2 linked regions of the Canis lupus familiaris genome follow. The protein of the gene in region 1 interacts with the protein of each later gene in a pairwise test. Links are inferred from orthologs where the notes say so. Each region holds a gene or a part of one and is shown on either strand. Other genes may lie near its edges. The genes, in order: LRRC7 and NQO2.

Evidence for each region.
Region 2: the proteins of LRRC7 (region 1) and NQO2 interact in a two-hybrid assay, tested with the Homo sapiens proteins (2 studies listed by BioGRID). The two-hybrid records come from large-scale screens. The link is inferred for Canis lupus familiaris from reciprocal best matches to the Homo sapiens genes LRRC7 and NQO2.

The regions. Positions count from the first base shown.
Region 1 is NC_049227.1:76,609,864-76,614,233, reverse strand, and holds the start of LRRC7 (leucine-rich repeat-containing protein 7), read left to right. Parts: upstream 1-1,313; 5' UTR 1,314-1,418; coding exon 1,419-1,420; intron 1,421-4,370.
Region 2 is NC_049256.1:4,586,844-4,590,646, forward strand, and holds part of NQO2 (ribosyldihydronicotinamide dehydrogenase [quinone]), read left to right. Parts: intron 1-470; coding exon 471-635; intron 636-3,803. UniProt on the Homo sapiens protein: The enzyme apparently serves as a quinone reductase in connection with conjugation reactions of hydroquinones involved in detoxification pathways as well as in biosynthetic processes such as the vitamin K-dependent gamma-carboxylation of glutamate residues in prothrombin synthesis.

The sequences.
Region 1 (4,370 bases):
TGCAGGGGGGAGGTGCAGGGGGGTGCAGGTGAGGTGCAGGGGCTGCAAGGGAGGTGCAGGGGGGCACAGGGGGCGCAGGGCAGGTGCGGGGGCTGCAGGGTAGGTGCGGGGGGGGCGCAGGGGGGCTCGCGGGGGGGCCGCTCCGAGGGAGGACACTCGCGTCCTCGGCGGCCCGGCACCCGCGGCGGGGGCGGGGGCGGGGGCGGGGGCGGGGGCGGGGGCGGGAAGCCCGGGCGGCGCTGGGGGCCGCCTCTGCGCGGAGCGAGCGGGAGCCGCCGCCCGGCCGCCGCGTCACCGAGCCGGGGCGGGAGCGGGAGCCGGCGCGGGAGCGGGAGCGGGAGCCGGCGCGGGAGCCGGGGCGCGCGGGGAGGCGCCGAGGCCCGGAGCCGCCGCAGCCGCGCAGCCGCGCATCCGCCCAGCCGCGGGTCGCCGCGCCCCTGGGGCCCGGGCCGGCGGCGGGAGCAGCAGCGGGGGCCGGAGCGCCGCGGGCCGCCCCCACCCCCACCCCGCCCCCGCCCCCGCCCCCGGAGCACCGGCCCCGCGCGCCGCGGGCGGCGGGAGGAGCCCGCACGGCCCGGCCCTTTGTCCCGCTCGCAGCGGCGGCTCGGGCCGGAGCGCGCGGGCGGGCGCGGGTCGGGGCCCCGGCGGACTCGCATCGGAGCCCCGAGGCTTCGGGGGAGCCCGCGGGCAGGTCGCGGGGGCCGGCGAGGACGGCGGCGCGGGCCGGGGGCGGAGGACCGGGGCGCCCCCTCGGGTGGCCGCGCTCTCCTTGACGCCTCTCCCGCTCGGCGGCGGCTGCGGCGGGTGTCGTCGGAAGAGGGGGCGGGCGAGGAGCGCGGGGGCGGGGGCAGCGGAGGCTCAGCCCGCGGCCCGCGCCGCCCTCCGCGCCCGCGAGCCCCGCACCTGCGCGCCGGGGCCACCTGCCGCCGCCCGCGCCCCGCAGCGCCCCGCAGCGCCCCGCAGCGCCCCGCAGCGCCCCAGCGCCGGGCTCCCCGGGGGCCGCAGGCTGCGCACCGGGGCGCTCCGCCCGCCCAGCCCGGCCCGGCCCGGCTCATTGTGCGCCGCGCTCCTGGGGGCGGGGAGGGAGCCGCGCCGCCGCCGCCGCCGCCGCCGTGGTCGCTCGCGCGGCGCGCAGGGCGGGCGGAGGCAGGGCAGCCGAGGCGCTCGAGCCTCCCCGCCCGCCGGCGCTCGGGGCTCCCCTCGGCCGCGTTCCCCGGACCTGCCCGCTGCGCCCGGAGGGCCCCGGCACCATGGCGTGACGCGCCCCCGCGCCTCGGCCGGCCCGCGCCCCCCGCGCAGGCCCCCGCGCCAGGCCCCCGCGCCCGCGGCGCTGCGGACCCCGAGCACCCTCAGCAACCAGCCCGGGCGGCGGCACGACTCGCTCTCGCCAACCTCATGGGCAGTGGCTCCCGCCGGCGATGTGAGTAGCGCGCTCCTGCTTCGTGGCCCGGGGGGGGGGGGCGGGGGGCTGCGGGGACGCCGAGCGCCCGAGGTGCGGGGCTGGGGCGCCCCGGGGCGCTGTCGGGGAGCTGCCGGCCGGGCGCCCGCGGAGGCGGCGGGGAGCTGCGCGCTTGCGGGGCGCGCGGTGCCTTGGGCGCGGGCGCCGGCCGTGCGGGCGCCTGGGAGCCCCGGTGGCCCGGGCTGCCGGGGACCCTAAAGGGTTACATACTGCGAAAAGGGGAGGCGAGGAGCGAGGGCTGGGCGCGGGGGGCGCGGGGGGCGCGGGGAGCGCGGGTCCGGCCGGGCCGAGCCCCCGCCGTTATCCGGGCGAGGTGCTGCCTCCTCGCAGGTGCCCGAGGGACGGAGCGCCCATTTGGCCGTGCCCCCCCCCCCCCCACGCACACTTGTGGCAGGTCGCAAATGTCCCTTTATCTCGGCAGGTGTAGTATTACTGTTGGATGCCCGTTGGCTTGGGAAAGGCAATTAAGAGGATCTCGCTGCCTTTGGGACTGGAGGGGAAGGGTGGGGTTGGAGGGGGCTGGAGGGGGCGACGAGGGCGACAGGTTGGAGGGCCGAGGAAGCGGGGGAGCCACGGAGCCCGGGCAGTGGGGGTGCCTGTGCCCCCCCCCAGCCCCCGGAGCCGGGCAGCTCCTGCCCACACACCTCCTTTGTGTTGCAAAGGCGGAGCTGGAGACCCCGCGCGGTGCCCGGACCCACGCTGGGCCCCCTCCGCATCTCGTCCCCCGAGAGCCCCGAGGGATGCGGGACTCGTTGGGGATCCTCGGCGGCCGGGGGGGGGGCAGCGGGGGCAGGAGGTGCCCTGGGGCTCCTGGAGCGGCTCGCGCTCGTCTGCAGCCTCCGCGCGCGGGGTCCCCCCTGCGGGGAGCGGCCGGGGCCGGGGGCGCACGGGCTGCCGCGAAACATAGCGCGAGTTCGCAGGGGCGACGGCCGCACAGGTGCCTCCTCCGGCTGCTCCTCGGCCCGGGGCGGGGGGCGGGGGGCGGGGGGGGCGGCTCCGCCCGCCGAGTCCCGAGGGCGCAGCGCCCGGCGCACGGACCGGGTCGCTCGCGCAAGTCCCGGGATGCGCGATGGGCCTCGGAGCGCAGCCACCTGCGACTCCCACGCGCCTCTGGAAGTTCCCCTCCCCGAGGAGTTAGAGACGCCGCGGGCGGGGGCGGGGGGCGGGGCGGCGACCCCCAAGGGCCCGCACCTGCCCTCCGCGGCCACTTTGCCTCCGCGCGGGGAGCACCTGGGAGCCACCTGCGCTGCGAACTGGGTCGGACCCGACCCGGGGACCCGCGGCCGGGAGCGGTTCTACGTGATCCCGTTTTAACCTTGGCGACGCTTCCAAGCCCGGTGGAGGTTTCCGTGGCGTGGGCGGCGGGAGCGCATTCCGGCGGAGGCAGGACACGTGATCGCCCCGACGGGAGAGGCCGGTCCGGGCGCCCGACTCTCTTTGTTCCGGGCTGAGCCCCGCGCCCGCCCCCCGCAGCTCGGGCCCGCGGCCCAGGGGGGCTGGAGGGGCTGCCCCCCCGCGGGGCCCCGGTGGAAGCCAGGCGGTCCTCCCGGGGACGCGGCGGAAAAGTTCTGCAGCCCCTGCGCACGTGGGCTCCCGGCGCGCTCCGCCACCTGCCGGCCGCGCCCGGCCACCTGCCCCCACCGCCCGGGACGCCCGGGCTCGCTCTGCCAAAGGCTGCAGACGGGGGTCGGGGTCGCGTCCCTGCTTCCGAGCATCCTTCGGCGCATCCTTCAGCGCCCGGGGCGGGCTGGAGACGAGGGGGCGGGGGGGTAGCCCTAGTTCTCCGCCCACCTGTGTGTCGAGGTACCAGACCTGGAGGCCCCGACCTGGAGTCTCCGACGTGGTGGCCCCCCACCTGGAGGCCCTCACTGGGAGGTTCCCCACCTGGAGGTTGCCACCTGGAGGCTCCCCACCTGGAGGCCCTCACTTGGAGGTCCCCACCTGGAGGTCGCCACCTGGAGGCCCCCCACCTGGAGGCCCTCACTTGGAGGTCCCCACCTGGAGGTCCCCACCTGGAAGCTCCCCACCTGGAGGCCCTTACTGGGAGGTTCCCCACCTGGAGGTCCCCTGGAGGCCCCCACATGGAGGCCCCCACATGGAGGTCCTGACCTGGAGTCCCCGACGTGGTGGCCCCCACCTGGAGGCCCTCACTGGGAGGTTCCCCACCTGGAGGTTGCCACCTGGAGGCCCCCCACCTGGAGGCCCTCACTGGGAGGTTCCCCACCTTGAGGTCCCCTGGAGGCCCCCACATGGAGGTCCTGACCTGGAGTCCCCGCCGTGGTGGCCCCCACTTGAAGGCCCTCACTGGGAGGTCCCCACCTGGAGGCCCCCACCTGGAGTCCCCGACGTGGTGGCCCCCACCTGGAGGCCCCCACCTGGAGGCCCTGACCTGGATGCCCGCCCCCCTGACCTGGAGGCCCCGATCTGGGGGCCCCCCACCTGGAGGCCGCTGATTTCGTTTTTCCGCCCGTGTTGTACTTGCCGCCCCCGTGGGCTGAAGTCTCGCCCGGGGCGGGCCTGCATCGTGTCTGCGTGGCGCTGGGAAGCGCAGCCCATCCCCGTGACATATTGTGGAGGGAGACTTCTTTATACATTTTTTTATACTTCGCTGTCCAAGAGAGGATGGGTGCTTACCATGGCAACCCTTACATCCTCCATCACGTGTGCCTGCACATATGCGGCTTCAGAATTAGAAACGACTCCTTAAAGAAATAAGCCCGGTCCCGTTACCGTAGCCACGTTTTATTCAGAATTTTAGCACTGCTGCAGGCTTGGCATTAAAATTTTCTTAATTAACATCTTAATCCACTTTCTTCCGGAGGCCTTTAATTTTTCTGCGCCCTCCATAAAATACAGAACATAAACCCAAAGTTTTTGTGTGTCTGTATTTTTCTTTGCTTTGGATTTTTTT
Region 2 (3,803 bases), on another chromosome or scaffold:
TCCCCCTGGGATTAGGGTCTGTTTTCCCTACGTTGTTGAGGTGTTCCATCTCAGTGGGCCTGGAGGAGGAAGCAGAGCTGTGTATCCGTAGCTGGTGCCTGCTGAAGTAGGGTTAGCAGGAGAGATTAGTTGTGGTGACTTTCAATTTTGGTGTTCGTCCACAGAGCAAAAACCTCTGATGGGGAAGACCCACAATAGCTTGGGCTTTTAAGGAAATTCGTGGTGTTATTTTTGAGGAATCATAATTTGACTCATTTTATGTTTGTATATTAGTAAACCCAGGCGATGGTGAGCTATAATTGGATTTTAGAAAACATTCATTATTTTAAAAACTATCACCCATAAAAGAGGTTGGTGTTTCTCAGCTTGAGCCTATGATGCGCCTACATGTTTCATTGTTACCTTAGTCTTCGTGGAATTTTGACAAAGAGGAATTGTTCTTTAAGAGAGTCATTTCTTTTCTGATTCAGGCAAAAAAGTCCTCATTGTCTATGCACACCAAGAACCCAAGTCTTTCAATGGATCCTTGAAGAAAGTGGCGGTGGATGAGCTCAGCAGGCAGGGCTGCGCCATCACCGTTTCCGATCTGTATGCCATGGACTTTGAGCCGAGGGCCACGAGGAAAGATGTCATAGGTGAGTCACGGGGTGAACAGTTTTTGTTTTTTTAACTTTCTTCTTTCTAGGTGTTTCATGGAAAAAAATGTTTTGAAAAAACTAACCATGGTGCATAGTACCCAGTTCTGAAGCAGAACGAGTCCACATGGCAAGTCTTTTTCGCATCCCTGTCCCCAGCCACCCAGTGTCTGCCCCCCAGGTCACCAGGGTGCTCACTTGTCTCTGTTCCTCCAGAGACATCTGTGCTGTGCAAAGCATTTGTGGGCATATCCATCCATCGTCTGTCCCCTTTGTTTGTTCAGAGTGGTAGCAGGCTTTACAGGTTGTTTTGCACATTGCAGCCGTTTTTACTATCAGAGTATTCATTTTGTGGAAGTGTCCTAGGTGAGGTGGCCCCTACTGACGGACATTCCAGGGCATTCCTGATCTTTGCTGTCACAAACAGCGCCGCAAGGAAGAATCATAGCCACACACATTTTCCTACGTATACAGATGTCACCTAGAGGTGGAATTGCTGCCAGAGGGAAGGTGCATTCTTGATTTTCATAGATAATATCAAATGGTAAATGTGCCAGTTTACACTTGGCACCAGCGATGTTCGCAAGTGCTCATTTCCTCTGCATTACCGATTTTTGATCATTGCCAGACTGTCAAGTGAAAACTGGTCTCCCAGGATAGTTTTGATTTGCCTTCCTCTTATTGTAAGAGAGCTATACTGCCTTTGTGTTTATGTAAGACGCATTTTCTTTGTTTTCCAGCTGCATTGAGACATAATTGACAAAAGTTATATATATTTAAGGTATACGACATAATGGGGTTTTTTGGGGTTTTTTTCTTTTTTTTGATTACTAGTTTCGGAGGTAGAGTTTAGTGATCCATCGATTGCATACAACACCCAGTGCTCATTACATCACGTGCCCTCCTTCATGCCCATCACCCAGGTACCCCATCCCCCACCTACCTCCCCTCCAGCGACCCTCAGTCTGTTTCCTTCTTCTGGTTTGTTTCCTTCTCTGTTTTTACCTTATTTTATTTTTCCTTCCCTTCCCTTATGTTCATCTGTTTTGTTTCTTAAATTCTACATAGTGCTATCATATGGTATCTTTCTCTGACTGACTTCTTTCACTCAGCATAATACTCTCTAGCTCCATCCGCATTGTTGCAAATGGCAAGATTTCATTCTTTTTGATGTCTGGGTAATATTCCTTACACCACATCTTCTTTATCCAGTCATCTGTTGATGGACATCTGGGCTCTTGCAATAGTTTGGGTATTGTGGACATTGCTGCTATAAACATTGGGGTGCAGGTGCCCCTTTGGATCATTATATCTGTATCTTTGGGGTAAATAACCACTTGCACAATTGCTGGGACGTAGGGCAGCTCTATTTTTAACTCTTTGAGGAACCTCCACACTGTTCTCCAGAGTGGCTGCACCAGCTTGCATTCCCAGCAACAGGGTGAGAGGGTTCCCCTTTCTCTTCCAATGTCTGTTATTTCCTGTCTTGTTAACTTTAGCCATTCTCCCTGGTGTGAGGTGGGATCTCATTGTGGTTTTGATTTGTATTTCCCTGATGCCCAGTGATGTGGAGCATTTTCTCATGTGTCTGTTGGCCGCCTGGATGTTGTTGGAGAAATGTCTGTTCATGTCTTCTGCCCGTTTCTTGACTGGATTTTTTACATGATGTTTTGAAGGCATTTTCTTAAGTATTCTTTTTGAAAAGCTAAATGCTTTTAGCTTTTCATTTATATTAATATTTTGTATTATACTTATAAATATTTATATTAGTATTTTAATAAAATATTTAATATTTTCTTTCCTGGGAATTGTCTGTGTATATCCCTTGTTTATTCTTCTCTTCTATCTCTTACTGGTTTTAAAGAGCTCTTTCTATATTAAAAAGTTAGTTTCTAGTGTGGGGTATGAATTGTGAATACATTTTTACCAAATTTATGTTTTCTTTTATTTTGACTTTGCTTATGGTGTTTGTTTGTTTTTTTTTCCATGCAGGATTTTATTTACCTAGTTGGCTTTTGATCAGTCTTTTTCTTCCATGACTTCTAGATTTTGTGTCACGCTTATCTACATTCTAAGATTTTTTTAATTTGATAGTTTTGCCTAGTATTTGACCTATTTCAAATATGACAAATTTCAAAGTATTGATAGTTTTGCCTAGTTTTTGACATATTCAATATGACAAATTTCAAAATATTTTAAAAAAATATTTTGTCTACTTAAAGTTTATTTTGGTATATGATGTGAGGTATGATTCCAGTATTTTTTCTAAGCATCTACTGAGTTGTCTCGTCACCATTTATTATATGATCCAGCTTCTCATTTAAAATGCCACCTTCATTGTGATTTAAATTCTCAGGTACATTTGATCCTGTCCTATACTTTGTATTTTGTTGTTGTTGTTGTTGTTTTTCCTATTGGCTCATGGATTCAGTACCACGTGGCTCTAATTATTTTGGCAAATGCTACAATATCTGATAGAACTAGGTCACCTAGTTTGCCTTATTTTCTATTTTTTCTAGCTAGTTTTACTTTACTTTTCTATAAAATCTTTTGAATTAACTTCCCAGATTCAAAAAGTAACCAGATGATATTTTTATTGAGATTCCATTAAATTTACAGATGAATTTTTATTATAGTGATCTTATCCAGGAGAATAGTATGGCTTTTCATTTGCTCACATCTTCTTTTACAACCCTGCAGCTCTCTTTACAAGTTTTCTTCATGCAGATCTTGCATGATTTTTGTTAATTGGTTTTGTTTCTCTAAGTCAAGAGGATTACTGTTTGCCTGTGTGCATATGTGTGTGTGTGTGTGCGCGCTCGCGCATGTGTGTGTATCCAGCCATGACTAATTTCCTCACCGTTCGTAGTAGATTTCAGCTGATTCTCTGGGGCTTTCCTGATAATGCAGCCAAATCATCTGCAAATAATGACAATTTCGCCTCAGCTTTTCCAGTATTTAATACCTTTAATTTCCTTCTGTTTGCAATTGTAGTAATGCTATCTGAAGATTTAATATTTAGTATTGATAGTAATAGCTTAACATCCCATGTCTTCGTGTCTTTCTTTTGTTTTAATAAATCAATCAACAATTTTCACTTAATGAACAACAGAGGGCAGCCCCGGTGGCGCAGCGGTTTAGTGCTGCCTGCAGCCCAGGGCATGATCC